Linked DNA regions of Diceros bicornis minor. The protein of the gene in region 1 binds, or shares a complex with, the protein of each later gene. Links are inferred from orthologs where the notes say so. Each region holds a gene or a part of one and is shown on either strand. Other genes may lie near its edges. The genes, in order: TACR1 and TAC1.

Region 1 (16,265 bases):
TATATTGTAGGAAAACTCCATGGCAGGCATAAATTGGTCCAAATTTTTCTTTGGCTTCAAGGCATAGTACACAGGTGTGCTTTGAGGTCTGCCTGATGCATTGGGTCTGGTTTTCAGATTTTAGTTGATGTGTGCAGGAGAGAGGTACAGTCAAGTCAATCATTATACACACATTTTAATGAGTACCTGCTCTATGTCAGGCAACTGGATAGCTGGTGGGAATGGGAAACCAGATAAAGCATCCCTGTTTTCATGGTGCTTGCCCTAGTGGGCAGGGAGGTATGGGAGAGACTGACAAGTTACCAAGAGTTACAACCTCATTGGCTAAATGACATGGGAATAGATGAGAAGGACACTTCATCTAGACTTGCAGGTTGAGGTCAGCTTCTTAGTGGCGGTGGCAGCTCAACTAAATCTAAGAGGACAATGAAGTCACCAGATAGGATGCCAGCCCTGCAGCAGGTGGAGCTGCTCGAGGTAATGGTGATAGGGTAATGCTCAGTTGTGAGCATTAGTTAACCTCTCAGCTAAGAGCACCAATAACAAATGAGAATAGCCGGTTGAGACATATGGAGAAGGAAAGAGGAAGGAACCAGGGATGGTTAACCAGTGGGGGAGAAGATTCAGGAGGGATGTATCAGAAAGGCTGCCACATGGAAGAGGCATTTACTAGTAGGAGCAGCCCACAATCAGGCACAGATTTTAGTTCAGCAAAAGGAATAATTTTGTAATGATTCAAAATTGAATTAATTTAACAAATAAGACAAATTGAGTAATATATTTAAGCAGAATTTAATACTCTTACAATGGCCCTGTCTAGACCGCTGGCGTGTTGAATTTTTACTTGAGTAGAAAATTGTCTAAGGGTCTCTAATGTCCTCTCTGGCACAGTAGGACCCTTACATTGCTTTTCTGCCTTCAAGGACAGCTTTACTTAAATGATATAGTATCCAAAAGCCATCTTAAGCGGGAGTATGTAGGCGGATATCTAAGGCACATGAAAGCAAATTGCATGGGTCTCCAAGCTCTGAGGGAGTGGAGAGTGGGAGGACAATGCTAAAAGAAATAGTGCCTAATAGTCTTTCCAAGGTCGAAACAGAATCCCCATTGGTATTGAGAATTAGATGAAACAATGGATTGAAGAGCATGCAAATATATGGTATCATTGTCAATTTTATTAACATGAAATCTCCTTTCTAGTTTCCAAGTGACAAACATTAATAAATCATTATGAGAATTCCCAATCCAGTGTTGATGAAGTTAATTTAAAAAGCCCCCAAAATCCACATTGTTTTCTCTTTAGTTTGCTGTTTCTTTTCTCCTCTTCCTCCCCTTTGCCCTCTTCCTCCTCCTCCCCTTCCTTTTCTCTATTTTACCAGTAAAATATTCTTTCCCATATTCCCAGGGGTAGTTCTTTGCTCTGTCTCCAAGCTCCTTCAGCATGGTACTAATTGCATTGGGTTATAATGGTGTTCATGACTTTGTCAATCCCCAAAGACTGAGAGCACAAAGGCAAAGGCAGTATTTTACTGCCTCAGCATCTGGCACATAGTAGGTGCTCCACAATGGTTTGATGGATGGGTAGATGGATGGATGGATGACTGTCTCTCACAGTTCACCAATGTTCTCTAATTACCAAATCCAATGTCCTCATCGTCTTTGGATTCTATTGACACTAATGAATATAACTAACCACAAGTCACCTCCCTTAACCTTTGTCATTCCACATATGCTGATTTCTCCACTACTCCTCTATTTCTTCTTTTTTTCCCCTCCTATAGCCTGATAGGACATTCCTGTGAATCTTTGGCCTCTTCTCTGGAAACATGTGCCTACACAGGTGAAAGTGATGTTCTTTACTTCCCAAATTCCAATAACCCTTCTGTTTGGAAAACTCCCAAATTTACATTTGGATTCCTGGCTTCTCATTCTCTAGCCCCATTTCTTAAGTTGCTTGTTGGGTATTTCCAACTAATTGTTATATTTTCACATCAAATCCAACAAAAATTGTACTCATTTTCTTCCCATCAACTCCTCCATTCATTCCCTGATTCACTTGTGAATTCACTTCAATTGAGTCAGCCTGTCATTCTCCCCGAACACTTTGCAACTTTTTACCACCACACTTGTGTCAATACAGTTTCTTCTACCTGGAATCTCACTTTTCTTTATCCTTGTCTCTCAAAATCTTATCTAATCTTCAAGGCCCAACTTGACTGCCACCTTTTGAGGTCTTCCTTGATCATCATTGCTGGACACGACCTCCCTCCTCTTCTCTCCTATAGAATTTGTCTGTACAATCCATATGAAACATATCGCTTAACACTTTATATTGTAGTTATCTCTCAGTCAGTCTTATTTGCCCCAATAGGTAACCTAAGCCCTCATAGGAAATATCACCTTACCTGGTGGCATCATCCCTTGATAGACTGAAGATCTTTGTCCAAGTTTAACAGTGAGTATTTCTCCCTCATGATCCTCATTCTACCATTTGCTATTTCAACACAATAATAGTAACAAAGTCTTGTGCTCCTACTATGGGCTTTTACATTGAGAATTACTCTTTATTTTCCCTCAATTGAACCTATGTTTCTGCCAGTTTTTAAAAAAACCAAGGGCCTTGACCATTCAGGACACTGAGGACTCTCGTGAGTAGAGAGAGGATGTGATAAGTGCAGTGGCGGCAGCTTCAGAGAGCAGATGGGCATTGAACTTCTCCAGGAAAGATCCTGCAGCCTAAATGACCCATCCAAGATGTAACAAACTCAAATTTGATCCACATCAACCCAGACATTCGAGGTTCCTAATTTGAGAAGTCAGGGCCAGCTTCTAGTGAATGACCATTCTCAGCATTACAGGAGTGATGGTCACGGATTGTAAGGTCCATCTAAATTAGTGCAAAGGATGCTGGAATCTAAGTCCAGCCTCTGGGTGAGGAAGGACTGCCCTGAGATATACAATGGGACCCAACTCTAGCCAACATGGTGAGGTTCATGGACAGACTGCAGGTCTAGCGGAGACCTGAGAAGCAGGCTATTTAAACTTGTAGCTGGAGATGACTGGGACAAAATGGAATGGACACCAGGGATCAGTGGGCAGAGGTTTTGTTATTTATGCATTTCTTTGCTCTGGTTCCTCTTTTATTCTCTCAAAGAGTTCATTTCCTCTTTTGCTTTCAACCAGTACCCCTATCTGCGCAACTATATTTTTAGTCCTGACTATATTTCATATTGTCCAGAGACCATCATCATTTGGATGTTTCCTTTCACTCAAATACAACATATCCAGAACCAGTCTGAGTAGTGGGCATCCTTCACCTTTCATGTTGCTGAAATTATACCTGCCCCTACCAGGTAGAGAAGCGGTGTTAAGAGGCCAGTGCTTTTCTGAGCCTCCTGTTGCTGTGTGCTTGGGTCCAAGTCAGGTTACCTTTTGCCCCTATAGCCCTTCTGGTGGGGCTTAGGGATTGGTCTCCCTCCTCTCTTCTTAGATGTTGTCCCACAATACCAGAACTGGCCATCATCACCAGTCCCTGCAAAATGGAGGTGTCACCTTTCAGCGTCCTCTACCTTCTGATCTCATGAAACATCACATACACTTTTTTGTTTGTACAATAGGAAAGAAATTTTAAATTTTATTTTAAGTGGGAGAAAGTACAGAGTTTCCAAAAGTAAAATCCCTGGTGTTTGTTGGAGTTTAATTAGAGGTAGATCTGCTCTTATTCAAGTTTATTTGTCTCTAAAACTTTTTTATTCTAGGTAACCATTGCCTTCAATAAATAAGTATTCCTTCTGAAGAGGCTCTCTCTCTCTCTCTCTCTGTCTCATTCTCCACTCAATGGAAAGATTACAGGAAAGATTTAAATTAGTAATACAATCTGCAGCTGAAGTTTTTTTCTCTGCATACATTTTGGTTCTAGAAGGAAATTTGGCAAAATTTACCAAGAAAGTTTGACCCAGCAATTCCACTGCAAGGATTTTATTCTAAGGAAAGAACAAGTATGCTCTCAAAGATTTATGTCCTGGATATTCATTTCAAAGTTACTTGTAATCATTAAAAATGGAAACAATTTACATCGAAAAATACAGGAATGGTTGAAAAAAATGATTATAGCCACACAATACAATGCATCCATTAAAAATCTTGCTTTGAAAACTATTTCATGACATGGAAAATGCCCATGATATTATGTTAAGGAAAAAAACAAAAACCAAAAAAGCAGCTATTGAAACTGTTCTTATTATGATCCAAAATTTATTTTAAAAGCGTGAGTGGCTGTAGGCAGCAGAGGTAACACGTATAGAAAGCTAGCATTCTAGAATTTTAACTGGTTATCTGTCAATAGTAGGACTGTAGAAGATTTTTACATTTTCTTTACAATTTTATGTATTTTCCAAATGTTCATTCACTTACTCAATAAACACGGAGTGACTCTAAGGTGCCAAGCACTCTGCTTTGTGCTGAGGAGATAAAGTAAATAAGACAGAACAGAAGTAGGCCTTGCTCTGCTCAGAGCTTGTAATCCTTTAAAGTTAGAATGAAAAGTTTTTTTAAACATTCATTGAATTTGACCCAGTAATTCCACTTCTGGGAATCTATACTAAGAAAATAATCAAGAAAGCAAAACAAAATTATCATACAGAAATGTTTATTAGCGCATTAATCATAATAGCAAAAAAATCTAGAAATCACCTAAATACTCAGCAGTTGGAGGTGGTTAAAGTAATAATAGCACATTCATAAATGGAATAATAGGAAGCCATTAAGATTATATTACTGAAGACTTTTTAATAACATGGGAAAATGTTATTAATGTTTTCCACTAATATCAATGGAAAAAAGTAAGCTACAAAATTATATAGAATCTCACCTCAATTATGTAGGATAATTGTCATAAAAGAGAAATTCCAGTGTTAACAGGTGTTATTTTTACATGGTGTAGTAATGGTTGATCTGTATTTTGGGGTCTATGGTCTTCATGTTTCCCAGGTTTTCTGCAAGGAACTAATTCTATAATCAGGAAAAGCATGTTGTTCTTATTTTTTAAGACTTGATTCAAAGATTATCTGTTAAAAATTCAAGGAACATACAAAAAGACAATTTAACATTTCCTCAAAGTCTGCATTGCCGTGATGAAGAAAGGAGAGATAAGGCCCCTTCTGGGAGGGAATGGATGACCATGCATGCAGGGGAGCTACATTTTTCAGAGGGCCTGAGGGGACTAATTCACTGTGCTCATGAGGCTGAGTAAAGAAAATAGAAGGAGCCCTTGGAGGACTTAGAGACAGAGCCCTGAAGCCTCATGCCTAACCCTACCTTGAACTCTGAACCTTGAGCATGTGGCTGATAATCTCCCCAGGCCATATCTGTACATTAGGGACATGGGGACATTCTCACTGCAGTCATTTCCCTTAGCTCTTGCCCCAGAGATCTTCTGACCTTACTGAGCAGGTGTCACTCAGGGTCAAGGTCCTGTCTGTGGTTTGCTTGGAGAGAAAGAACAGTGGAGGCTGAGAAGCCAGAGTCAAGGCAGCCGAAATTTGGCTCCCTGCCCAATCCACTGTGAAGATTTTGACCCCGACTCCAGCCTCTAACCTTCTAGTTCAAAGAGAAAGAGCAGGGCTGTGGAACATGGTGTCATTTCTGTGTAAGCCAAAGCAAGAGAGCTGTCTGCTGGCGCTCCATCAGCTACTGAATGCTGGAGCTCACACTGACTGACAGGTCTCCCTTGAGCTCGTGCAAGGCCCCAACACAGTAAAAATGCCAACTTTCCCTCTAATTTAGGGATCGTCAAGAGAGTGTGTGGAAGGCTGGAGTGGTACCAGATATCTCTGCACCTATATTCAGTTATATAGCATGCTAGGGGTATTCTGAGTTTGACGGGGCTTCTGTGAGGTTAAAGCAAGTCAGTGCAGAAAGATTTACAGGTGCACCTTACAAATATCTAAAAACCAGAGTAGCATAAAAGATAAATTTAGAAAAGCATTCATTTCACCAGAACTTTGAGTAACTGGTTTCCCTTCTGCATTTAAAATATAAATTGATTCACCACAACTTGTTTTGCACACAACATATCAAACACATAAAAGTTGCATAAAAGGAGGTGTACATGGAACTTAGAAATCAGCATTTGGACACCACTGCAAAGGAAACATAGTTTTCTCCGATTTTAAGTGTTCATTGACCGCAGAACTGAAAAAGATCTCAAATCAATTGCGAACCATAAACAATCTTTATGCAAAAGGGTTCAGTAGTTTGGGAATTTTTTTTTTTTGAAGTTTTTCTCTTAGCTCCTTCTTTGGGTTTCTCATATTCATCTCAGCAAGGCCATCAAAAAAACCACTTAAAAATCACAGTGGCAGGTGTTTTAAACATACCTCCACAGCCCAGGTAAACATTTAAGACTTGTGCACACACAGATATACATATTAGAGACCTAGGACACCCATAAAAAAGTCAATACAAATAAAGCTGTGCTCTAATAATCAATTTTCCATCATGCCACCTGAGGAGCCATTCATTCCAGAATGCCAGCCCCAATCTTTGAAAATGCAACCTTTTCACTTTCAATCAGCTTCTGAAGCCCTAACCTGTTGGCTGCAGGAAAGAAAGAGCTCTCAATTGCCTTTGCCAAGCACGTTTCTCTGTGGATACAGACAGGCTAAAAACATTGACCTTACATTGCAAGAGAAATTTAGAAAAACTCCTGGGTAAAGCTCCTTGGATTCCTATCTGAAGAGTTCCTTAAGAACAGCATAGCTGCCTCTTATTCCTGAATGAGATCCCCTAGCTGCATAGAGGGAGCTGAATTAGAATCCTAAGTATTTTATGATTCTAATGAAACGCTCTTTACATCCAAATGATACTGGAGAGAGGAGGTGGGAGCAGAGTCCCTGAATCTTCAGGAAAAAAGTGAAAAATGAGAAATTTTGCCTAGGCCTACTTAAAACTGGAAGGCACCAAGAGTCTGCCCAGTAGAATAGCAAGCCTGCAGGGAACTACAAAGCCCTAGCCAGGGGCCAGCCCCTTGGCCAAACCCTGGGTATCTCCTTCAGGTTTTCATGGTAAAGGAAAGAACACATATATGGAAAGAAGCAAAGCAGGAGTTGAAAGAGAAGTGTCAGGAAGATGAGTGGAGAAGGGATGAAGAAGATGGTTTAATGAAGGAAAAAAGAGGATGTGTAAAGAAAGGAAGGGAGACTAGTGATGGATGAAAACGAGGAGAAAGAAAAGAGGAACTAGAAAAGAAAATGGTGAGATAAGAGAAAGTCCCTCATCAACAATTGACTCAACTGGCGGTCGGTAAAAACCCCAGGGTCTGGGTGGCCAATCTCCACCTTGAACCAGGCACAATCCAGCCCCGAAGCTCCAAAGCAAAGCCATGGTCCTCTATAGACACTTTCTCCCTGTTCCACAAAGGGCAAGCTCACCTATCCAAGGCCACAGCCGTCATGGAGTAGATACTGGCAAAGACAGCAGTGGTGGGGAAGAAGTTGTGGAACTTGCAGTAGAACAGACCGTAGTACCACTCGTTGTGGACAGCGTAGGTGAAGTTCACCACTGTATTGAACGCGGCCATGGAGGCCTCTGCGAAAGCCAGGTTCACTAGGAAATAGTTAGTCACTGTCCTCATTCTCTTGTGGGCCAAGATGATCCACATCACCACCACGTTGCCCACCACGGAGGTCACCACGATGACCGTATAGGCAGCTGCCCAAAGGACAATTTGCCAGGCCGGCTGCACGAACTGGTTGGGCTCCGAAGTGTTGGTGGAGATGTTTGGGAAGAGGTCTGAGTCAACTGGGAAGACGTTATCCATTCCCCTGCTAGGCGGTTAAACCCTCCTCTGTACACACCTGGCCTTTGCAGCAGGGTCCTGAGGCCGGCGCCGGGGGTTAGGGTTCTACTTAACCAGGACAGGAGGGCTGCAGGCTCTTTCTGGGCAGAGCTCTTTTCTTGTAAGCAGGAGACTTGGGCTCAGAAGATAAACGCTTATTGATGCGCTGTCTGCCCCTCGTGGCTCTGAATTCCTCCTCCACTTTCAAGCTTCAGGAAGCATTTGAGTTCAGAAATCTGGAGACAGCGTCTCTCTTGCGTCGGGTTGGAAAAGGGGAAGAAATTCCACGGGTCGCGGTTCCAGGAAGCAGGAGACCCCCGCCTTTCTGCACCTGCTGCTGCTTGCAACTCCTATTCCCCCTTCCTGCAGCGGGAAAGGCAAAGCCCCGTACTGCGTGAGGACTTGGGGGCGAAGGGGGGTGCTCGTCCAAGCGCAACCCGTAAAAGTTCTGAGTCAATGTCCGGATTTCTTGTGCCCCGTGTCCAACTGGAGATTTTTTCCTTTGCTGTCGCTGCCGCCGCCGCAGCTGCCTGCAGCTTCTCAGGCGCCTCTTGGCTCGGGTCCCGCTCGGCTCGGGAGTTAGCAGAACCTCGGCAGGCTGCGCGAGGCTTTTATAACCCGCTGCAGAGACGTCACCGGGAAGGGGCAGTACCTGGGCTGCGTACTCGCCAGTACCCGTGCGCAGCACGGCAGCTGCACCAGCTGTTGGCAACTGTCTCACTCCACCGTTGCAGCCGCCACGCCTTTTGCAGCTACCTGCTGTGGGAGTCTGCAAGTCGGGCGCCCCACGCAGTCCGCGAGGGGTCGCTAGGTGGCCCCGGAGTAATTGCGCCAGATGGGGTCTGCAGCTGGAACCACAGATGCGCCAAGAGGGAAGGAAGAATTTGCCAAAGAGCTGTGGTGATGGACACTTAACTTCCAAGGAGGGTAGCCCGGAGCGCTGCGACAGCTCTGCAGAGGCGCCTGCCTGTGGCTGTGGAAGTCGGGCAAGTGTGGGGGCGACGCGCCAGCGCTGCGCTCCGGGCCTCTCTCCAGCCCAAGTGCACCGCGGGCTCGCTCTGGCTGCTGCCGAGAAGCGAGAGGCGACGTTGCCCGGTTCCAGGTGTCCGGAAAATAACTTTCCTGAGGTCGCGTTTAGGAAACACCCCCAAAATACCTAGTTCCTTTCCTTGGTGGGCCGATTCTCCCGGGAAGCAGTGGTAGGCGCTAAGCTTTGGGGACACATTCCCCAGCAGTGCGTTGGCCCCTCGCTCCATGAAAAGCTACAGCTGATCTCCCCAGATGAGCCCCCCGTGCAGGCAATGGGGACTGGGCTGGGCTCCCTGTGAAGCTCGGTGAGCAGTGTGTCGCCCAGACTCGCGGCTCCGGGCTCTCTGCCAACACCCACTGCGGCCTCGCCTTCTCCGCTCGGGGACACCGCAGCCTCTGCTTCCGCGTCTCCCGGGCCTGCGGGCCAGAGCGGGGCCCGAGGTGGCGTCGCGAACTCTTCCCTCCTCCTCTCTCCCAGGTTTGCATAGGAACTAGAGGGTAGAGCTGCCTGCCTTCTCTCCCCACCCTCACCCCGCCCCTGGCTGGCTTTGAGGACTCATCTTCCAGTTCAAGGCCATTTCAAAACGGCCGCGATGGTGCGGGGCAGTGGGAGGAGGCGGGAAGAACTAGCCAGTCGGTGCGAACCGTTTTGGAGAAGAGAAGATGGGCTGAGATTCGGAGAGCGTTCCAGCCAGTCTGCCCAGGAGATACGGTTCCGCGGGGAATCGAACGTTCGGAGTCTTTCTGGGGGCCATCTACCTCTCTACCTCCCCGCTTTCACTGCGGGGACTCGGAACTGTGGGACCCGGGTAGGGACGGGTGGCACGGCGGGGCGCGGAGGTTCGAGTTGGCGAAAGCCCGCGCTCTCCCGAGAGCGGCGTTTACGCACTAGCCCTCCTGTTGGGAGCCTCTGCGGCGGGCGCGCAAAGTATCGCGCAAAGTATCTCGCCGGAAGCGCTTTAAGGCTTAGAAATTTATTGTACTGATTTGTGCTGGACTGAAAGCGGATCTTCTCGCCGGGGTGGTTGGGGAATCGCTAATTCACTCTGGTTTTGTTAAGCCTGTAATGTCAGCTTTTATATGAACTGCCCCTTGCACTGCGTGGTCCTCTAGGCACCCCTAAACCCTGTGCCCCCTTATTTAGAGGGACAGCAAAGGAGAGCCTTCTTGTGGAACGGAAAGCCTTCCCTTGTACCCTGGATCTCTCATTACTGCTTCCATCACCTCGCAGAGCTGAAGGAGAGTGTGCGTGTGTGTCCACCTTTATTTTTCCTCCCAAGCTGTTTAAAGCTGTCTTTCTTTCCCCCTGTCCAGTGGAGGCAGGCTGACATTTTCTAAAGGAACTTTACTCAACGCTTAGAGGAAAAAAAGAAAGCTAATAAAACCTAAATATATCATGAAAGCTAAGTATAAAATAAAAGCTAAAAAACAAAGATTTATCCATTTGTCCTTCATTAGTAGAGCAAGTCGATACCTTGAACCAGGTACTGTCCTGGGGATACAGCCGGGCCAAGCACTCACAGTCTGGTGAAGGAGAATGAGACAATTAACTACACAAAACCGGAAGTATTAGGATAAGCAAAGGTACTAGGCTCTGCATGAGAGGAGAAGATGGTGGGGGCACTTAACCTTGACAACGAGAGGAATCGGGGAGGAGAGCAGAAAATCATATCCATAGAGAAGCCTGAAGAATGTGTTAAGGATGAGAAGAGGCTGAGGATGAAAGGGAACAGAATATTCCAGATAGGCATTTTATATGTCAAACAATGGCACTCTGCTTAAGGTCCCACAGGGACTGCCCAGCTCACTTAGAGGAACACCTCCATTCCTTACTCTGGCCTCCAAGGGTCTGCATTCCTGGCCCTCACATGTGGATGAGGCTGGCCTCAGTGGCTCTCTTTCCTGCTCCTAATTCCTCACGGCAGGTAGCCATGTCCTAGGAATATGTATGACTTGCCAAAGTTAATTTCTTTCCCAAAAAAAGCAAAGCATATTCATAACGGGGTCACATAAAAAAAAAATGCCTCAGCCATACAGTAACAGAAGGTGTCCTTGGTTCATGCACAATCTGCTGAGGGACCTTCTCTAGCTCTGACCCTTCTATAAAAGTAAGATTTTCTTTCCCACGTAGGGATAACGTAGCACAGATGTATAGATAAGATCCTGTATATGCTTTTTTCCTCCAACAGTTGATATTTTTTCCTTACCCTTTTTTTCTTTGGCTCCCCTTTCTACTTAACTCTTTCCTTGACACACAACACAGGCCCACCAGTCTCAAGGTAAATTCTGTTGACAATCTAGAATAAATCCTTCCTTATTTGTCTAGGCTCTTTAATACTATACAGACGGAAATACACATGATACTTGTACATGTAAGCTTATACAAATATGGGACTTTCACTTTTTGAAAGTCCAACAAAAGAAACGTACTTCTGTTGCGTTAACTCAAAACATTGTCTGGATGCTTCAGAGTCAACAGGTATAGATTTAACTCATTTTTTCCAATGGCTAAATATTATTCTTATGGTATGGATGCACCATCATTTATACATTCCTTTCCCTATTCATGGAAATTCACTTTGCTTCCAGCTTTTGCTACTAAAGACAAGGCTTTAATCAACATTTTTACCTATGTCTCCACAGTCTGATGTTTTCTTTCTATGGGAGAGATTCCAAGTGGAATTTCTAGGTAACGGATTGTATTTATATTTATATGGGTATATGTATACATGTTGTATATTTCCATTTAAGGTTGCCAGATTGACTTCCAAAAGGGTGTAGCACTCTTACATTTCACTAGCAACTAAATTACCCTTTTCCCCACATCTCTTCCAGTAATAGATGTTAAAAATCTTTTAGTTTTGTCAGTCTGAAATATGTAAAAATATGATAACATTGCTAATACATAGTGTTCATTTTTCTGACTACTAGAGAATTTGAACTTCTTTTAAGATTTTTTGGCTATGTGGATTTTTCCATCTGTAAATTGTCTATTCACATTCCTGTCTCTTTTTCTGTTGGATTGCTTTCCAGTCATTTTTTTCTAAGTGCTCTTTGAATAACACTTTGCCTGTCATAAATATTTCAACTATTTTTTCTAATGCTATTATTTATCTCTTGAATTTATGTATTTGCCATAAAAACTTAAAACAATTTTTATATAATCTGTACTTTCTTTAATAACATTTGGGTTTTTGAGTCTTGGTTTAAAAGTCTTCCCAAATCCTTTTTTTCACATAGTCTCCTAAATTTTCTTGGCAGCTTTTTATTGTTTCATTTTTTTACATTTATATCTTAAATTCACCTGGAGTTGTTGTTATATATTATGTAAAAGATTTACTTTGATTTTTTTCATGTAGTTAGCTAGTTTTGACAGCTCCATCCATTTTCCTGAGGAATTAAACCGTTATCTGTGTCATAGATTAAATTTTCAAGTATATGTGATTTAATATTTATATTCTCCAGTCTTGCCCACTGATCCATTTGTCTATTCCTATAGCAACACTATATATATATATATATACATACATATATACACACATATATATATGTGTATATATATATATATAATTCATATGATCTCCTACTTTTCCTAGCCTCCTTGTGATTAGGCAGAGCTATGTATGTGACAAATTCAGCCAATAGATTCTAAGTGGAAATGATGTGTGAAGCATAGAAGTGTGTGTGTGTGTGGGGTGGGAGGGGGGGAGGGAGAAAGAGAGAGAGAGACTTCTCCATGTATTTTCTTCTGCCAAGCCCCAAATGATGCAGCTACAAGATGACAGGTCTTGATCACCTTGAGTTTCCGAGTAACTGTGTAACACAGGCCCCTGCCAAGTCGCTATGGACATGCAGCGTGAGCAAGGAAAGAACTTTGTTATGTTAAGTCACTAGGGTTTGGATTAACTTGTTACTCACCATGATGCAGTTTATCCTGACTACCACAAGAATAAAATATTCTGATATCTGGTAAGGCAAGTTCACCTGAGAGCTCATTTCCTATTTTTCTTATCTACTTTGTGGCATCACATTTAAATCAATATTTTTTTTCAATTTTTAAAAAAACAAACAAAACAAACTGCACTAGTATTCTAATTGAAACAGCCTGGAATTTATTTTATTTTGACAAAATTAACATTTTGATATTAAGTTTTTTCATCCAAGAACATGGTATGGCTTTCCATTTCTTCAAGTCTTGTTTTATGCCTTTCAAAAAGATTTTATAGTTTTGGTTATAATAGATCCAGTTTTTTGATTAAATTTATTTCTTTATTTTTTATAGTTTTTGTTTTTATTGTAAATGAAATATTTTTCCTTTTTTGTCCTAGATCAAAGAAAAGCTGTTGACTTCTGTTTATATGAATTTGTGTGTATGTGAGTGTGTGTGTATGTATATACATATATTTTACCTAAATTTCATATTAATTCTAGTGTTTTTTACTTGAGTTTCCTTAGTTTTCAATCACATCATCAGTATTTTCTTGTCTCTATGAATTTCCTTTACCCTCTAAGACAATGTTAAATTAAAAATTGTGATAGCAGGTATTTCTGTATAGTTTCTGAATTTAAATTAAGATGGCTTTGTTTTTTTACCATTTAGGATAATATTTGTTGTTGAATTTGCTCAACAGTCTTTTATGTTTAAATAGTTTCCTTCTACTTTATTTTATCTTGAAGTTTTAACAGAAATATCTTGTAATTTCTTTTATTTTTAAATGCCTTTTTCAGGATCTGTTAATATAGTTGTGTAATTTTTTTCACTAACTTGTTGACATAGTGGATTAAGTGGATAGACTTTCCAACACTGACCCACCCTGGCATTCCTGGCATAAATTCTGCTTGGTCAGATGCTATATCATTCCTCTTTGATATACTGCTGGATTCAACTTGCCAATGTTTTATTTAACATTTTTGAAGCTATTTTCCTAAGTAAGATTGATGTAGAGATTTTTTTCCTTTACTTTTTTCCTTTTCTTTCTTGATCAGGTTTTGATATTAGTGTTATGCAATGAAAAATGAATTGAGAAGCAACTCATCTTTAACTATGGCCAGAAATATTAGTCCTGTCCCTGAACCAGCAGCATTGGCATCACCCTGGAGTTTGTTGGAAATGCAAATTCTTGGGCTGATACAGAACTACTAGAATAGACTCTGTGTTTTGATAAGACCCTAGGTGGTTTGTAAGCACATTAAAGTTTGAGGAGCTTAAAACAGGTCCAGTGTTTTCTAAATTTCTCAGATGATAAGAATTTCTTGAGTTGCTTGTTAAATAAACACATTATCCTGTTCCCCTGACAATTCTGATTGGTAGTTCTGGGTTGGGGCTCAGTAATCTGTTTTTACTAAGTACCCTGGATCAGTCTTATCTTCAAGCAAGTTTTGGAAATATGTGAGTCTTTTATTTTAAATCCAGCCTGAATCTAGATGAATCCTTTCTTCATCCCAAGAAAATTTTTCTTTTAGTATTTTCTGAAAGTATTACCTCTTCTCTCTACCTATTACCATTAGTCCTTTTTTTCTCCTCTTGGGACTCATTGCTGGCATGCTAGGTCTCCTGGATTTATCCTCTGAATGTTTTAAAAACTATTCCTGACCCCTTAATGGCGACTAGTATTTTAAAAAATGAAGTAACACAGAATAGAAAATATCACAGTGCATAACACTTTGAATAAGGGTAAGTATTGTTTTGTGAACTTTTATTTCCATTATAACTTTATGTGTACAGGTTTTCAGTGTAAAATCTATTTTTTTTACCATAGTTTGCAGTAAAAAAAAAATGCTTGAAAGCAGTTCTATAAGTTTCTTAAACACTTCCTCATGGTTTCTATCTTTTTTATATTTCTGCTTTGTGCTCAGAGACATTTCTTGCACTTGATCTTCTAAGCCATTCCTTTGAGTCTTTTAATACAGATGCTGAATATTTTAGCCAGAATGTTTTTGTTTAGCTTCTGAAGATTGTTTTTTTTCTTCTTTTGTACTTGAATTATTTGGGTGTTCATCTGGCTCTTTCAGCAGCTCTCTTACTTGAGCACGTTCTCTGATTGCCCAGATTCATCTTTTCTGGCTATTAGGCACCCTTGCATAGGTTGCTGTTTTCTTTATAGAGTTACCAGAGCTCAGGCATGGTGGTTGGAGCATTCTAAGCAGTGGGAGTTTAGGGATTCCCTAGGTGGTGAAAGAAGTGGGAGAATTAGATTTAGGGTTAACCGCGCCCTCCCCCACATACCAACACAGGCTGTCAGAGTTCTGCTGTGACACCCCCAGGAAGCCTCCCTGCCCTCCACTCACCCTGCCCTTTTCCTGCCTCAGGAGCAGGGAGAACTCGCTCATCCTTTTCTGTTCCCTCTAGGCCTTTTGGGCAGCAGAGAGACCCCCTGGTACACCAACTGGTGCAGATGTCTGCCCCTACCCTCAGATCTCTGAGAACCCAGGCTCCTCTGCTTTGATCCTCTCTTTAGGTTCCCACACTGATCTCCTAGCAAAGCATAGCCTGCCAGAGGAAGCTCTGCCCAGTTCTGTTGTTCTCTTGGCTCAACCCCAACAGAGCCCCACGGCTCACTTGTGTCCATCTGCCCTTGAGGCCTGCAGCCACTTGACTGATGGGAGAGGACGTTGGAGTTAGCAGGGAAAGGGAGGGCAGCTGCGTTCAGGTCCCCATAAACCCGGGTCCCCTGAAGGCCCTGGTGTGGAGGCATCCCCTTCTCTCCTCCACGGTGTTGATAAGTTACTATTAGTCACTGGCTCCCTTCCTCAGCCATCCTTTCACAGGGCAAACTGTCTGGGGTGCATTATATCTCTTTCAAATTAGATTGTTAGTTCTCGGAGGAACCATGTGACTCGACTGTTCATTTGCTAGCACTCTCTTCCATACAGTGCTTTGCACAGAGTGGATGATCAATACATGTGTATTAAACTGGACTGAATCGCATGAAAATGGTTGAATTTAGAAAGGTGGAGAGGTGAGGAGGCAGCAACAGAGCAGAAATCATCAAACTGTAAATCTTCCTGACACAAAACAACAATAAACATTAATAATAAGAACAGGAAGCAGGGGGATGAAGAGGCGGGTAGCTGGCAATTAAACCGTGCTTACTGCATGCCTGGAACAGTTCCATGTGCTTTACATGTGGTCACTCTATTTGACCTTTTGTCAGCACTTCTAACTTATAACACATGAGTACAACCATTATAACTGTTTGTGGATGTTGTTCCCCTCCCCCTTCTCCGGGCACATGAAACATTTATCGCCATCGAGCCATTTCCACTCTGGCCCTTGTTCCTCATGGTGCTCGTTTACTGACCTGTGAGACCTCTCTGAACTGAACTGAAGACAGTGGGAATGGATAGTGTGGTGCTCAGCCAGAGCAGGGACAGAAGCTGTGGTCTGTCTGAAGGGCTC
Region 2 (15,900 bases), on another chromosome or scaffold:
ATAGCCAACCCATATCCTTACCTCTCTGCCTTTGCTTAAGCTGTTCCCTCTCCCTCCCCATTCCTTCTATCCCACCCTCTCCCATCCAGGGAAATTTCATTCTATGCTCCCATAATTTGTAATACATAATAATACTCCTCTGTTACAGCATCTATTATATGTCCTGCCTCCCTGACTTTCCTGAGCCCTCCTGGGGCAAAAACTGTGACTCATTCATCTCTGAATTCCAAGCACCATATTTGCTTGGCAAATATAGCGTACATTAAATAAGTGTTTATTGAATTAATTTTCCTTATGGCAAGTGCAGAAGGTTGGAGGGTTGGAGTATTGTGTCCTTTTTCCAGTGATGTGCCCACTTCTGACTTTACTATACCAGGAACTAAAATTAGTTTCCCATAAGAAATGGCTTTCTGGACAAAGAGATGGCAACACAAGACTAAACTCTTGAAGAGGCAGCATCGTGAAACATAGAAGGAAGTAATAAGATAAAGATACAGGTGATTCGCATTCCATGATGAAACCATATGTTACCTGGTTTTGAGTACAATTGCTTAAAATCCCCTCTAGGCTACCTCAGATGGTGCAGAACTTTGTAACTCTGCATTTGACTCTATTGTGGTGTTTCTTCTCACACACTGGCAAATGGTTAATAACTCAGGACCTGGTAACAACAGTTCTAGGTATTTTTGCTGTAAGAATCTTTGCCGCAAGAAGTTTTGCCACACAACTAATCGGCTGTAAGGGCAATTTTGGCATAAAAGATAAAATAACTGGTTGACAGTTTTGGGTTTCATTCATTATGGTTTCATTTGGATATGAATAATTTTCATTCTGTTCATTTGGTTTTGTTTGCTTACAAATATGCATCCTAGTATTCAGATGAAACCAATACCTCTCTTAATGAAGGAAGAAATTTCAGAAGAAAAAAAGTGCAAGGCAGAAGGTGGAAAAGAATCAACAAGCAAAAAAAAAAAAATGTATAATACTAAGAATGAAAGACTTGGAAGACAAAGTGCTTAGGTAACAATCCACAAAATCACATCTGTTCTTTGCACAGTAGTGCCATGAGTCTACACACATTTAGCTATTCAAATATTTTGTATTTTCATTTTTCACAGTGAAGTCTTTTTAATTTTGTTATTCATTTTTCATTATGAAAACCATTGTAACCAAATGAAACCAAAACTGTCAACCAGTTATTTTATCTTTTACAGCAAAATTGTCTTACCACAGATGAGTTGTGCAACCAAACTGCTTACAGAGAAAATATCGGACACAGGTAACACAGTGTAGACTGGAAGGATTTTAAAGAGTGATTGATATGAGTGTGCTCAAATAAAAAATTAATAAAGCAAGTTAGAATTCCCATGAGGCAGGAAGTAAAAAGGAGTGATCATAGCCGCAAGATTTCCCATGTAAATAACATGTAAAAGGTAAGCCAGTGTGTCAGGGAGGAGAGAAGGGGCTTCGCCTTGCAGACAACATATTCTTCCAATGTAATATTTGCAGCAACAGCTGTGTTCCAGGGCATTTTCTAAAGTTCTGGAGTTTGGAGCAACAAAACAGGAAAGAACTGATGCATCTACTTGGCATAGGTGATGTCCAACAATTGCACACACATTTACTAGTCAGGGAACGTGAACACGGTGCTATTCTAGGCCTTCTCTAATGCCTACGAAATAAAGTAAAAATTGTTAATTCCTGGAAAAAACTGAAATCCACAATCAGCAACCAAACAAATCAAGAGTCACAGTCTAGTTAAAGCAATCATCTTCAAGAACCTGTAGGCAATGGAAGAAACAGAAAATTCTGGAGCAAAGCAGAGAGGCCTATCACAGCCTGGCTCCACAGAGCCTCTGTCCTCTCAACCTTGCCATCACCTTCCAAAAGTTTTATTGGTAAATTGACAAAATTCTGAGAATTCTCAATGATGCTGCACATGGAGAGGAGAAAACTGAGCAGGCAAATCATTATTTTCTTCCAAAATGCAAGGGATACAAGTGGCTGAGAGAAACTGGTGACACCAGGGCAGAGAAGAACAGAGCTAACTCTTTAAGGGGAGTGGAGGGAAGCTCCAGACTGCAGAGATCAAATCCAAGGGCGTCCCTCGCAAGAAAGACCCTCCAACCAGGGAATTGACATGGAGTTGACATGGAACAAGACACTGCACAAAATCTCAGGGGAAAGAGCAGAGTCTGGGTATTCAGACGGCATCACACTTCAAGCTCCTCCTCCCTCTGTCATTCCCTCAGGCTAAGAAAAGTGAACAGAACACAAATCCTTTTTTTTCCCTCAAAGGGGAAAAAAATCTCAAATATTGTAGGAACAGAGTCAAGTAGTCATTCTCAGCCTGTCTGCTCAGAGTCACCCAAGCAACATCAAGATGGAGAGAATGGCCCAGAAACTATGCAAATATATTACACATTGTATTGGGATTCTCCAGAGAAAGAGAACCAATAAGGTGTGTGTGTGTGTGTGTGTTATATGTGCATGTGTGTGTTATGTGTGTAGAGAAGGAGAGAAGAGACACTGATTTTAAGGAATTAACTAAGGATTTTAAGGAATTAGCTCACAAGATTGTGGGGACTGGCAAATATGAAATCTGCAGGGCAGCTGGGCAGGCTAGATAGAATTCAGCAAGAAGTTGATGTCTTGAGTCCAAAGGTAGTCTCAAAGCAGAATTCCTTCTTCCTTGGGAGACCTCAGTCTTTTTCTCTTAAAACCTTCGGCTGATTAGATGAAGCCCACTCATATAACAGAGAGTAATGGCTTTACTCAAAGTCAAATATTAATTTGATTCAAATATTAATCGCATCTAAAAAAATACCTTCATGGCAACATCGGGACTGGTGTTTGACCAAATAACTAGGCAACATAGCCTAGCCAAGTTGACACACAAAATTAACCATTCACACACACACACACACACACACACGTGCATACACACAAATACACAAAGAGAGCCACCTAGAAGAAGAATAATAGTTAATATTCACTGCATATGCTAGGCACTGTTCTTTACACTTCACATGTATTTACTCATTTAATCCGCACAGCAACCTTATGAGGTAAGTACTATTTATTATCCTATTTGACAGATTAGAAAATGGAGGCAGAAGGTTCTTAAGTAACTTGCCACATGTCTAGCAAGTGGCTAAGCCAGTATCAAAATTGGCAGCGCTTGCTCAAAATTCATGCATTTTACTGCTAAACTAAAATAAAACATAACTCAGGAAATTCCTTTAATTACTTCACACTAAGAATATCTTAATAAGAACATGAATTCAATAAAATAAGTGCAAATCAATAAAATGATAAAGCAATTAAATGAGATGAAAAAGGAAATTACTTGTCTATGAGAATAAATTGGGACTACGCAACATGATTATGGAAATTAGAAACAGTAAGGCGAATTACTGACACAAAAGTGAATTACTGACACAAAGAGGAAAAAGTTAAAATAATCTAAGTGAATGCAGAGGAAAAGGGCAAAGAATTAAAGCAATTTGGAAGAATATTATAGACGTGAGATACCATATACATTACTATACTATATGTATATGTATTAAAATATATTATGATCCAGAGAAAAGGACCATAATATTCTTGAAGTGGAATTTCCATTTCAAAGATACATTCAAAGACATAATACAATAGAATTTCCCTAAAATGAAGAAAGAGAATAATTTGCAAAACAAAAAGAGTTCATGATACTTCAAGAAAATGAGATGTAGGGTGATCAACAAGACATAACCTAACTGAACTATTGAATATCAAAGATAAAGAAAGAATTCCTCAGATGTCAGAGCAAAACAGCAAATCACACTCAAGCAGGGGGAAAAACTATCCCACCTCAGAATTCTCCACAGCACTCAATTCCACAAGACAAAGGAGCAATGTCCATAAAGTCCTGAGAAAAATGAAATTTAATTTTAAAATATTACAACTAATCAAGATGTCATTTGAGCATAGAAGCCACCGAAAGACATTCACTAGCATGAAAGAACTCAGAGAATGCAATATATACGATTTCTTCTTGAGAAAGAAAAATTTGCTTGACAATGACATCCAGCCAAATAAGAGTGATTTAAAAAAAACCTAGAGAATGGCAAAGCTAGATTAAAAGGACTAGTGGTGAACAATGAATCTGTTTAACTATAGAATGAATAGTTGACAGCTACTGAAAGTATGCCAGCAACACTCAATGTGAATTTATAAACCTGAATAATGTTAAAATAATCATGTAACTACAAAAATTGGGAGGTGAGACGAAGGGGAGTTGGGAGGACGTTTAAGAGTGCTAAAGTCCTCATCTTTCAAAACAGGGAATAAATAGATATTGTCTAAATATCTATTTTTTTTAAATGTTACATGCTGGCCTCTTAATGTTTATTCCTAACTCTTGTTTTAGGAACCCATGAATGGGTTCTTTTATGGAAAAAATATCTTGTGGTGAAGAAACATTTTTCACTTTTGTTTTTCCTCTACTAAAGTCAAATAAAATATAAATAGCTATCTTTCATTAAAAATACTTCTGAGGGTCTGAGGGTCTCATCCTATTTTTATAACTTTATTTGTCTATTGCTCTATTCTTCTAACCATATAATACGCATAGAAAGATATTCACAATGATGTTCTCTTACTGTTAAGAGTTGCAAAATTTCTGAGTTTGAAGTAATTTTTTAAACAACACACTACTGTATTTTTCTGCATTGCTTTATTTTTTATAAAGAGTATCTCTTACTTTACAAAAACAATCACTTGACTTTTTTCCCTTTAAAAATTGTCAGCAGTCTATCAAGATGTTAACAGTGGCTCATTCTGGGTTATGAGAAAACAAAAGATAGTAATTTTTCTTTGTATTTTTCGTCATGTTTTTAATTTACAAACATAAAAACTGATTTATTAACTACTTACTTTTTCATCATTCTAATTCTCATGCATATGTATTTTATTAATATGTATATTGTCATAAATTTGATGTTCTTGGAAATAAAACAAAGAGTATAAATATCCCAAATAAAAACAAATAAAGAATATAAACATCCCAAACCCTGCAATGTTCAAGGAGAAAGTGTGTCAGTAAGTGCATGACCTTACTAGGAGAGCTAATTTAACAATTAATGAATGATGTGGAAAAAGTGGGAAATGTATTTTTTAATCAATTTTTTATCTCATTATTGTTTATTATTCAATCCTATGAAACAGCCTTTATTTTATGTTCTGTGGCACATTTACAACATATGGCATCCGAACAGAGTTATACACTAGTTACCTGGGGCTAAAGGGAAGAAATTGTGAAATAGCTGTCTTTATTGTTACCTCATAAACCACATCGGTAACTGAGAAACAAAAAACATATATATATTAATCTAAAATGCCCCACTTTAGGTATGAAATTTTACAAGGCAGAGAAGGATATGAATACATATTTGCTGATATTAAAATAACAATAATAATAGAAGGATAAGCTAAAAACCTAAAAAGAAATGGTTACTAGAGGGAAAAGAGTAGAGGGACAGGGATTGAAGCTATACTTCTTTGAATGCATTATCTTTTGAATATTTGAGTTTGGAATTATGTATTTTACATAATTTTAAGGTTAAATTAAATTTAAAAAGCAACCCCTAAAACTCAAGAGCAAAATGAGCAAATGAAGCTATGTTTGTAAGAGTTTGTAGCATACCCATAGAGAGAACTTTTAAAGTGAGTTGGCTGAACATACCTAGAATGATATATCCTAAAGATTACACGTAAAAACCCTTAAACTGTTTCCAATAATCATATTGTTGACCATATTGGCATTGTGTATTGGGATAAAGCAAATGAGTCATCATGTTGATGTCCCTGGGAACTTGGATTTCTTGTCATGGAAGAAAAGAGGCAAGAGGTCAAGGATAGAAGACAGAAGAGGTCAAGGAAAGATCCTATAGTATCCTGATTTGAATACAAAGTGTCAGTATACTTTCACTATTTTTACATATACACACATACACATACACATTTTCAGCTGTATTCATTGAAAAGGTCTTGAAACAATAAAGAATTCAGTAGCAATGTGCACCCATAATGCCCAGTTTATGGTCTCTAATTATCATTTCTAATTCAAAGGAAACAAGAGCTCCTTAAATGCAAATTGCAGGTCCGAGGCAGGAAATGCACAACTTAAACCTGGAATATCTTGTCATACCAAAAAACAAGAAACCCCTTAAAGCCTATTTAAGGGGTATCAAATGTCTCAGGAACCAATTTGAAAAGTCATCTGCAGGCCAACAAATGAGATAATTGGAGCATCAGTTAGAAGGCGGCTTGCCTCTATCCTTCTTTGAAGGGTTAAAATACTTCAAATGTGTTTAAATCCATGAGGTCATAATAATCCTAAATATGGGAGAGGAAAGGCCATATACCAACTCATTATTTTTAAAATTGGTAAAGGGAAGTAATCAAGCACTTATCTCATCTTTCCTCTGTTAACCATGTCTTGGAGTAACCAAATAGCTGTTGAGGAACAAGTTTCTCTTTATACGGAAGAAATAGTCCAGCTAATAAATACAAAATGAATGATAAAATCAGAATAACACTATTTTGAAAGTACTGATGAATTAGTGGATCTAGAAAATGATCATCAGTGGCTGCTAACATCTCAAAAGGAGAAACAAACAGATATCATGTGCTTCCTGACAACACATAGAAAGTAGCCTTGTCAGGAAAACTGAACCTAAGTGGGATTAAGCTTCCAGATACAACTATCAATTAACAGGAAATGGACAGGACAGAGGAACACATTAAAAGAAACCATTAGGAGGCAATCAGCAAGCTCCAGAATGTAGTACACTTTACTGACCAATTCACAAACTACAAGAGAAAGAGATCGAGAGAACTATAGATTAGGGGAGATTTAAGAGATGTACGAATGTATTGCAATGCATAGACTTCATGACAATTCTGATTTTAACCATTAAACTGTAGGGGGGAGGGGTTTCTGAAACAATGAGGAATATTTGAATATTGACTGGATATTTAACGTTGTAAAAAATTATTTTACGTTGTTTTTAGGTGGAATAATGACATGGTTCTGTTTTTACTTTTAAAAAGCCTTACCATTTATAGATACATACTGAAATATTTACAGTTGAAATGATGTCTGGGATTTGCTTAGAAATAATTTGAGTGGAGGAGAAATAGGAAGGGTTTATAGGTAAACCTGAAAATTTTTTCAAGTGATGATTCTCTACTTTTGTGTATGTTTATAATTTTCCATATAAAAAGTTATAAAAACAAAGAATACAATGCCTCACATTGTGAAGCTAGGCCTAAAGAAATGAGATAGACACATGGAAATTTCAAAATTCAGGGTTGTTTAAGAGAGAAAAACAAATGTTAAAGGAAAAAAAATACTGGTTTAAACGAGTTGCAAAAACTTATTCCCTTAATGCACTATACTAAAAACATCAGAATTAATTGAAAAATATAATACTAAGTAAAGAGAAGAAAAGAACTCCACCCAAGACACTATGTCATTTAATTCATTTTGAAATGAAAGAAATGTATCTGCAAGACAAACTCATGGGTTCATGGAAAGCTGTGATTTCTGTATAGAGGGTATTTATTAACGACGGCCCAATTAGCATCTTCACTACCCTTATTTTCATATACAGAAGAAATCTGTGAATGATTTGTAGAGTCCTTTAACGACACCCGGCAAGGATCCCGTACACCGTCTTGCCAGTGTCTTAGTCTTCAGCAAGAAAGGGTAGAAGAGAAGGGAAAACGTCCTCTTCCAACCCCCGCTTCCGGATTAGGCAAGAAAGAGGACTTAGCAAGCTTGGAACAAAAGATATCCTAGAATGGCACTGATATAAAAGTTCTACGTACAACGCCACGTTTAAATTCCCTTTTCTCCAAAATGTAAAATAAATCTGCTGCCATCGTCTGAAATACTACGGGACTGAAAATCCTTTTGTAAAGCTAAAGAAACGCCAGTATTCTAGCTGATTTGGGAGAAGGATGTTCTGCTCATAGAAAGATGCTGTATCTCAGAAACAGTTAAGACACTCTGCAGATGGAAATAGAAGGGGGAAAAAAATACCTCCCTCCCCACTTGAAGCGCTCCTTCCTTAGCCTGATTTCCGACGACATCTTAATACCTGAAGTTATTCGGCCATCCTTAAAAGTGCAACTTATCCTGACGTCTCAAGGGACGGAAAAGTTGCCGAAGTCCGAGGAATGAGTCACTTTGCCCCATTTTGATGAGTAATCTCAGGTGTCACGGAACCCCGTTCGGAAGAAGGAGAGGGGAGGGGGCGTCAGATCTGCAGACGGAAGAAGCCTGGCCGCTTGGGATTGGATGGCGAGATCTTGAATTTCCCAAATGTGCGTCATTTCGAACCCAATTGGGTCCAGATGTTATGGGCACCGACGGGTTACCGTCTCGGAAACTCTCAATCAGACGCAAGCGAAAGGAGAGGAGGCGGCTAATTAAATATTGAGCAGAAAGTCGCGTGGGGAGCGTGTCACGTGGGTCTCGAGGCTGGTCGAGCTTCGGATAAATACCGAGCCGCGCGGTGCAGGCAAGAGAGCGCGCTGCGACCTCCCCTCCACCGCCGCGGCGACCGAGAGTGCGGAGCGCCCGGCGTGCGCTCGGACCGGCCAGAGGAACCCCGCGGGCCTGTCCGCCTCAGTAAGTGCCTGCTCCGGGCCAAGTGGGCTTTCCGCACCGCGCATGGCTCCCAGGCGGCTGCTGGCCGCGCTGGAAGAGCCGCTGAGGCGAGGGACTGTGGGGGGTGAGTGGGGGGACAGAGGGGAGACGGGTATTCCAAATGCCAGTGTCCCTCTTTGTCTTCCACCTGCAGAGGTTCCTGGCTTGAAGGTGTGGATCAGTGGGTTGGGGGCTGGGGGAGTTGGGATCCAGGGAGAAGGGAATTTAAGAAGCTTTGGGGCATGCTTCTCTTTCCTAAAGGGTACCGGCAGGCCTTTAGCCCTTAGGCTTTTTATCGTGATTCAGTGGGCCCTGAGTTCCTTTGTGGGACTGAAGTGGGCCCTGAGTTCCTTTGTGGGACCGAGGATTATGCACCCCCAACTCTTGGATAACCGCCCTCCAATACATATATTTTACTATCCTCGGTCTCTTCTCTCCACTCTTTCCAGAAATCCAACATGAAAATTCTCATAGCCTTGGCAGTCTTTTTTCTCGTCTCCACTCAATTGTTTGCAGAAGAAATCGGAGCCAACGATGATCTGAATTATTGGTCTGACTGGTCCGACAGCGACCAGATCAAGGTGAGACCCGGCCCGGAGACGGCCTGCGCCGTTCTTCCTGGGCTCGGGAGCTGTCGCCTTCGCCCCGCGGTAGCACCTAGTTAGCCTGGCGGGCACCGCGACAGCCACCAGAGGTGTAAAGGAATGCCATCCCCTGGGTCCCGCACGAGATTTTGTGCCCACCATCCAAGTTTCCTCCCGAGGGCTGCACCGTCGGGTCTCGGGAACTCCCTGGAGGAATGATGCCCTCCCTGAGGAGCCCGGGATCCTAACAAGGCTGGAAACCTCACAAGGTTTAATCCCTGAGTAACCGGGAATTCGGGGACTCCAGTCCAGCTGCAAGGACCGGGCGTTTGGAAACGCTAGGCAGGGGCAGAGGATGGCGCGCCAGATGCAGGCATCAGCGGGGTAAGGGGTGAGCCGCTGGGAGCTTAGAGGGGCGTAGGTGGGTGGGAAGCTAACTTCCTGCCTTGACATTTTACCGACCTGAGGACGTAGTCGTTAAGTTTTCCTTTACAAGGCTCACAGACTATGGGTGCAAGGGAGCGCGCCTAGCGGGAACAAAGTCGCGCCGTGCAGGTCGCTTGTAAAGCGTTGTCACCCTTCCCCACCCAACGCACACCTGTGTGAATTTAGGGCGGTGAGGCGGCTCCAAAACTGGCGACAGAGTCAAGACAAAGTCAGGGGGCTGCACTGCAGATGAGTTGAGGTCTCCGGGATGGGAGCAAAGAGCGGAAAGCGCGCAGGGCTGGGAGACGCTGCTCCTCCTGCTAACTCGCAAGGGCAGGGCTTGGGGGAGGCAGCGGCGCTGGGCAGGAGTTCGGCGGGGAAGGGTGGAGAAAGGGAGCACCCCGGCCGGCCTGGAACCCACTCAGCCCCGCCTTGGGGAAGCCTGGCCTCCCCTCGCCTCCCCGAGGCCCCGGGGGCGGGCCTCACTGCCGGGAGCCGAGGTTCGCTCAGGGTTGGAGCTCACCATCGGAATGACCCGGGTTTCCGGGATCCTCGCGCTGGTTGACTACACGCCGGTTTGTCCGTACATCTGTCCTCCAGGAGGAGCTGCCCGAGCCCTTTGAGCATCTTCTGCAGAGAATCGCCCGGAAACCCAAGGCTCAGCAGTTCTACGGATTAATGGGCAAACGGGATGCTGGTGAGATGGGCAGCTATCCCTCTCTCTGTGTCTCCGGGCATCTCGCCCTGTCTGCTCGCTCGTTCTCAGAGCCCAGTCTCTCTTGCTCTTTGGGTAGAGATTTCCGCCCTAAAAGAGGTGTAACTCCCTGGGCGCTCCTCTGGGTCGCACCTCGCTAACACTCGCATATGCCCGCGGAGGGAGGGAGAGATCCGTTTCGCTTGCCTCACAATGTTAGAGACCCAAACCACCAAGAACAGGAACCAACCTTAGCTAAATGCTCCCTTGACTAAAGATCCAAACTGACAAAGAGGGAGAAGGCACGGGGCCTCCGGGGGGTAGTACTCAGAAAGGTCTAGGTGCGTGTGGAAGATGATTATAGACCATTGGGGTTAGAATAGATTAGCTTCCTGGTGTCATGATAGAAATATTCAGTTTCCTTGAATTCATCTCACCATCAGTGGAACGTGTAAATAGTTAATGTCACTTCGTCTCTTGTCAGATTCCTCAGTTGAAAAACAAGTGGCCCTGTTAAAGGCTCTTTATGGTAAACATTTCTATAAATCTTTATTTTACTATTGTGAATGCACATGTAGGAAAGTGAAAAAAGTCTTTTATGGGCTGAAATACAGATTCTTGATTATGCTTGTTTAATACCGAGATGGATTTACATCTGTCTCTCTCCTGAGCATCAAATGGGTGGCCCTCCATGAAGATGTGTTTCTTATAAGAAAACAGAGAGGTGGTAGGCCCAACAGTTGTTAACAGGCCTCAGGAGTCTCACAGGCCTGCATTTGAATCTGTGACCCAAAGAAAGTACTTAAAAAAATATTCCTTTTGCTTATTGAAATATTTTGTTTTTATTATTAATAATTTGGTTAGCATTTATGGTTCTGCTATATTCCTCAGGATAGTACATGAATGGGAAATGTTACATATTTTAAAAATCAATTTATTTTATAATTCTCTTTAAAAAAATATAATGTAGTTTCTTTAAAACAAATTTATTGTGTTTGCTCATTTTATCTTTATTTCTTCCAGGACATGGCCCGATCTCTCATAAAAGTAAGTTCAAAATTATTTTGACATTTATCAAATGCGAATGTAAATTAGATTGAATCCCACTTTATATAATATCTGATCTTATTTCTACTATAACTTAGGACCTAATATTTTAAATGAAGACACTATAAGAATGGAGGAGGCTCATATTACATCTAGAACATGATTGTTTAAAGCTCTGTTGTTTAGACATGTCATACTTACCAAAGGAATACATGATGTTAAAAATCCTTTAACTCCCAGCTAAACTGTTGCTAAATTCCTGACACACAGAAACTGTGAGATATTAAGTATTTGTTGTTGTTTTAAGCTGCTAAGGAAAGGAGGGAAGAAAGAAAGAAATCCTTTAATTCCTATAAATTGTTAGTTTTAGATAAGAATTTCAATTCTAGGAGTAAAAATCCACCACACATTCCTCTCCCCGATGGCTCAACCACCACTTCCACTATAAAACAAAAACAGAAACAAAACAAGCATTTACAGGTATCTTCTAAATCATTTTAGTATGATGGCTCCCATAATGACATCACTTAGTAGGGTAATCCAGCAGCCAATTAAGAGGCTTGAGTGAATGTCTGAGTAGAGAATCCTTATTAAAGGTAAATATAGATAGAAATGCAGTTTTTTGATTCTATAATTGAATGGGAAACCTCAGTCTATCAAAACACAGTGAAATATTTCTTAGGGGGGTGAAGGTGGCAGTAGTGTGGCACTTGATGGCCATTAGATCCCAGTTTCCCAGTTAGTGGAACCAGAGTTGACAGGAAGTCCCTGGGGTCCATCTTAATTATACTGTCCACTTACTCTGACTTGGATTTTGGTTCACTGGGCGGCGGCAGAGTAGGCCACATTAAGATAGAAACTTTATTTTCAACTAATAACAGTGAAAACCAAGAGACGTTCTCCTAATACAGTTAAAATAATAACTTTTCCCAAAGGTTTCATCTTTGAAAATAAATCATTCATATTTACTTTCAAAGGATTTGAGTTACAAGGGAATTCTATGTAGAAAATTCTATGTAATGGAAATAAATATACTCTATTAATGTCAAAATTAACACACATTTTCAAAAGGAGTATTTTTTAAAAATGCAATAAAATAGAAATAGTGACCTTTTAGAAGTTTATAATTATAAGGTATCTGACTTAACTAAGGTTCAGTTCCTGAGAAATACAACATACTCAGTAACATAAGGAAATAGGCTTGGATATTTCTCTGTCACACAAATGTGAAATTGACTCCCTAAAAATCAAAGCTAGCTTAAATAGCAACAATATATAAAACTTTATATTTAAACAAATAAAATATAATATGAATAAAGGATGCTTGCTAATATTTAGATATAGAATTGAGGAAGTGCTTTCATGGTATTGTTTTAGTGTTATTTATAAGACTTATTAGAAATCTTCATTTCTTCAGGCTCAACAAAACTTGAAATAGATATATATTTATTAAATGGGCGTATATTCAGAAGCTTGCTTTTTTTTTTGGTACTAGTTATAAGAATTTATTTCCTCAAAGATATACATATTAAAATACCCCTAAATGTATTTTTCCAGGGCATAAAACAGATTCCTTTGTTGGACTAATGGGCAAAAGAGCTTTAAATCCTGGTATGTATAAAATAATGACTGAAAATAGTATCTTAAATCTACTTGTATTTTTTCTTTCTAAGACAGTTTTTAAAGTATTAAAAAGGAATAATAAATTTAAAATGAGCATTTATGGTGAAAAAAAACCTAATTGTAATAAATAAATCCAAGAATGGGTTTATAGCTGATTAAGCTAATATCACCACACTATCCATCTCTCTCAAACCACCAGCCTTATCAGTGTCTGCCTCATTTAATTATTACCTAACCTGAATCTTTGGTCTAGTCTAATATTCTTTCCCTTATATCTGTTAAATAAGCCACATTTAACCTTACTGAACTAAGAGGAGGAGGGTATGTGGGAAATAAGACCAAATTTTCACTTGTTGCCAAGGTAATTTGAAAGTCTTACAAGACGTTACATCTGGCAGTCTTCCAACACAAAAATAAATAAACAAAAACAAACAAATCTATTTATACAAATCACATGCTCTTCATAAAGTTATAGAAGCTCAAACTCTAAACATCCTGATGGATGTTTGAGAGCATGAGAGTAATATAGTCCATTCCAGTGCCTTCAAAAAGAAACACAATTAAATCATCCTGGAGAGTTCTAATTAGTTCTGGCCATAAAACCCTTAGAGACAATGGATGCCACAATTCTCATAACCCATTTTAATTCTGAACAACTCTTTCACTTGACAAAAGGCTACATATTTCTTTTCTTCTCTTTAGTTTCTCTCTTCTATATAAATGACACATACATATATCTGAAAACTCTTATTTCTTAACTCATTCATCACAGTATTCTCAAGGTTAAATAACCCCTACATCATTTTCATAGGGACTGATTTTTTGCTAAGCACATTCAGGCTTTAATAGTCCTTAGGTTAGATTTCATGGGAAAGCTAGTCAAATTCTCCTTGTTTTACCTTCAGTGAAAAAAGAATTAAAATACTAATCATGTAATTATTTAGAAAGTAATCATCAGCCGTCTTATCCATTTAGAATATTACAAGTTTCTAGAAAATCTATAACTAAGATGTGCTGGCTTAATTATCTGGAAAAGTCATACAAAAATGATATATCCTAGTATTGATATTAGTTCTCTACCTTCCAGATTTAGACACTATTTTTGTATTTCTTCATCAGTAATTTTGGGGCTGCTCAAGTTTAAATTTTAAAGAAGTTATCAGTGATCCCAATGAAAAACTTAAAATTGTTTTATTAATATATATTTTCTTCCAGCTTTTGGAAACGGAATATAAATTTAAAACACAGTGGCTTTACTTGTATCAGAAGTATACACTAGCCCTTATATAACTGTGGTTTTCTTGATAATCATATTAGTCATCAACTTTGCGTTTCCAGAATTGATACAAGTTTCAGAACATGCTTAACTTTACAATAATATAGATACTGTGCAATTTATTGCAGATTTAATGCTATTAAATGTACTTAAAGTTATAATTATAGATAATAATAAATAGAATCACTGGAATGACTCAGAATCAATTTGACAAAATCTTTGCTCCTCCGTTTTAGTTAAGAAAAGAAAAGAAAAAAATGTGCAGAAAATGTAATCTATAGTCAGAGATCTTTTCATATAATCAGCTGAGACAAGGTAATCATAACCTTCTACAGCCATCTGATCCTTACTTTTTGTGGTCACAGACCCCTTTGACAATCTGAGAAATCTAGAAACCCTCTTCCCAGAGAAACCCTCATCAGCTCATACACACAAAAACTTACATTCGGTTTGAGAGAGTTCAAGGACCAGGTAAGAAACTGCTTCCAGTTAAGAGGACATGATACTCCAGCTAAATGACTAATCTGTCTTTGGTTAGTTTACATTAGCTTTCACCTCACTTCTCTGAGGAACAGAATCGGATTCCCTAAAGCTTCTCAGGAACTGAACTTGTGCTAGTCATCCTCCTAATATAAACAAACCAGCATGAGAAATGGACTGTGTCCTTCCTTCAGAACTGCCCAGTTGGAGACTCTGACTGTTCCACCCCAGAAGTGCATCCATGATTGACATGAAACATTCAGCTTATCCTTAACCCCATTTAGGGGAGTGTGGATGCTAAAGATCATCTGCTCAGTGGTAAAAGGTGAAAGTGATAACTCCAGAGCCTTTACCTACCTTCTCTCTCAGCTAATCCTTCTCGCCAAAAAAATTGTTTGCAGTGGCACCCATGATTCCTACACATCTTTCACAGTTCTTTCTACTGTTTCTATTTAAATTCAGTATTTTATACAAAGCGTACTGAATTTTAAAAAGCACAGTAGTTTCACTGTAGTGTAAATATAAATGTATAAAGTATTAGCTAAAATGATGAAAAATATACTTAAGTATTTTGATCACAACAGTCTGATCCTTACCCTTTTGTGGTTACGGACCCTTTTGAAATTGTGTATAACATAATATAATGCAATATAATAATTTTAGCTTTTTTTGTCCAGGTAGTCGAAGTACTTAAATTACTTGTTAGCTATATGTTAAGTACCTTGGAAGCAGTGATTAATCTTTCACAGGCCATTAGGGTGCTAGGAGGTAAGTTAAACAGTGTTGTATTTAGATGGCACAGTTGCCCTACCTACAGACAGTGAGGTTGTTTTTAGTCTCAGAGACAACCCATCATGGGAAGGAATCCACAAGACAGGAAGAGACCCTCATACCATTAGATACCCCTGTAACAGGAATCAGCATCTTTTTTTGTAGAGAGCCAGAGAGTAAATATTTTAGACTTTGTGAGTCATGCAGTCTCGGTTGCAACTACTCAGATCTGCCATTTTAATGCTAAAGTAGCCACAGACAATACATAAATGAATGAGTGTGGCCATGTTCCAATAAAACA

Evidence for each region.
Region 2: the proteins of TACR1 (region 1) and TAC1 are in contact, whole or in part, in a cryo-EM structure (PDB 7P02), measured with the Homo sapiens proteins. The link is inferred for Diceros bicornis minor from reciprocal best matches to the Homo sapiens genes TACR1 and TAC1. Residues at the interface, in NP_001049.1 of Homo sapiens: Gln24, Phe25, Asn85, Asn89, Tyr92, Ala93, Asn96, Trp98, His108, Asn109, Ile113, Gln165, Met174, Arg177, Val179, Cys180, Met181, Ile182, His197, Val200, Phe264, Phe267, Phe268, Tyr278, Leu279, Ile283, Gln284, Tyr287, Met291; in NP_003173.1 of Homo sapiens: Lys60, Pro61, Gln62, Gln63, Phe64, Phe65, Gly66, Leu67, Met68.

The regions. Positions count from the first base shown.
Region 1 is NC_080751.1:13,837,552-13,853,816, reverse strand, and holds the start of TACR1 (substance-P receptor), read right to left. Parts: upstream 8,383-16,265; 5' UTR 7,820-8,382; coding exon 7,431-7,819; intron 1-7,430. UniProt on the Homo sapiens protein: This is a receptor for the tachykinin neuropeptide substance P. It is probably associated with G proteins that activate a phosphatidylinositol-calcium second messenger system.
Region 2 is NC_080742.1:34,473,526-34,489,425, forward strand, and holds the start of TAC1 (protachykinin-1), read left to right. Parts: upstream 1-8,606; 5' UTR 8,607-8,680; intron 8,681-9,147; 5' UTR 9,148-9,156; coding exon 9,157-9,279; intron 9,280-10,308; coding exon 10,309-10,405; intron 10,406-10,886; coding exon 10,887-10,931; intron 10,932-11,425; coding exon 11,426-11,449; intron 11,450-13,006; coding exon 13,007-13,060; intron 13,061-15,900. UniProt on the Homo sapiens protein: Tachykinins are active peptides which excite neurons, evoke behavioral responses, are potent vasodilators and secretagogues, and contract (directly or indirectly) many smooth muscles.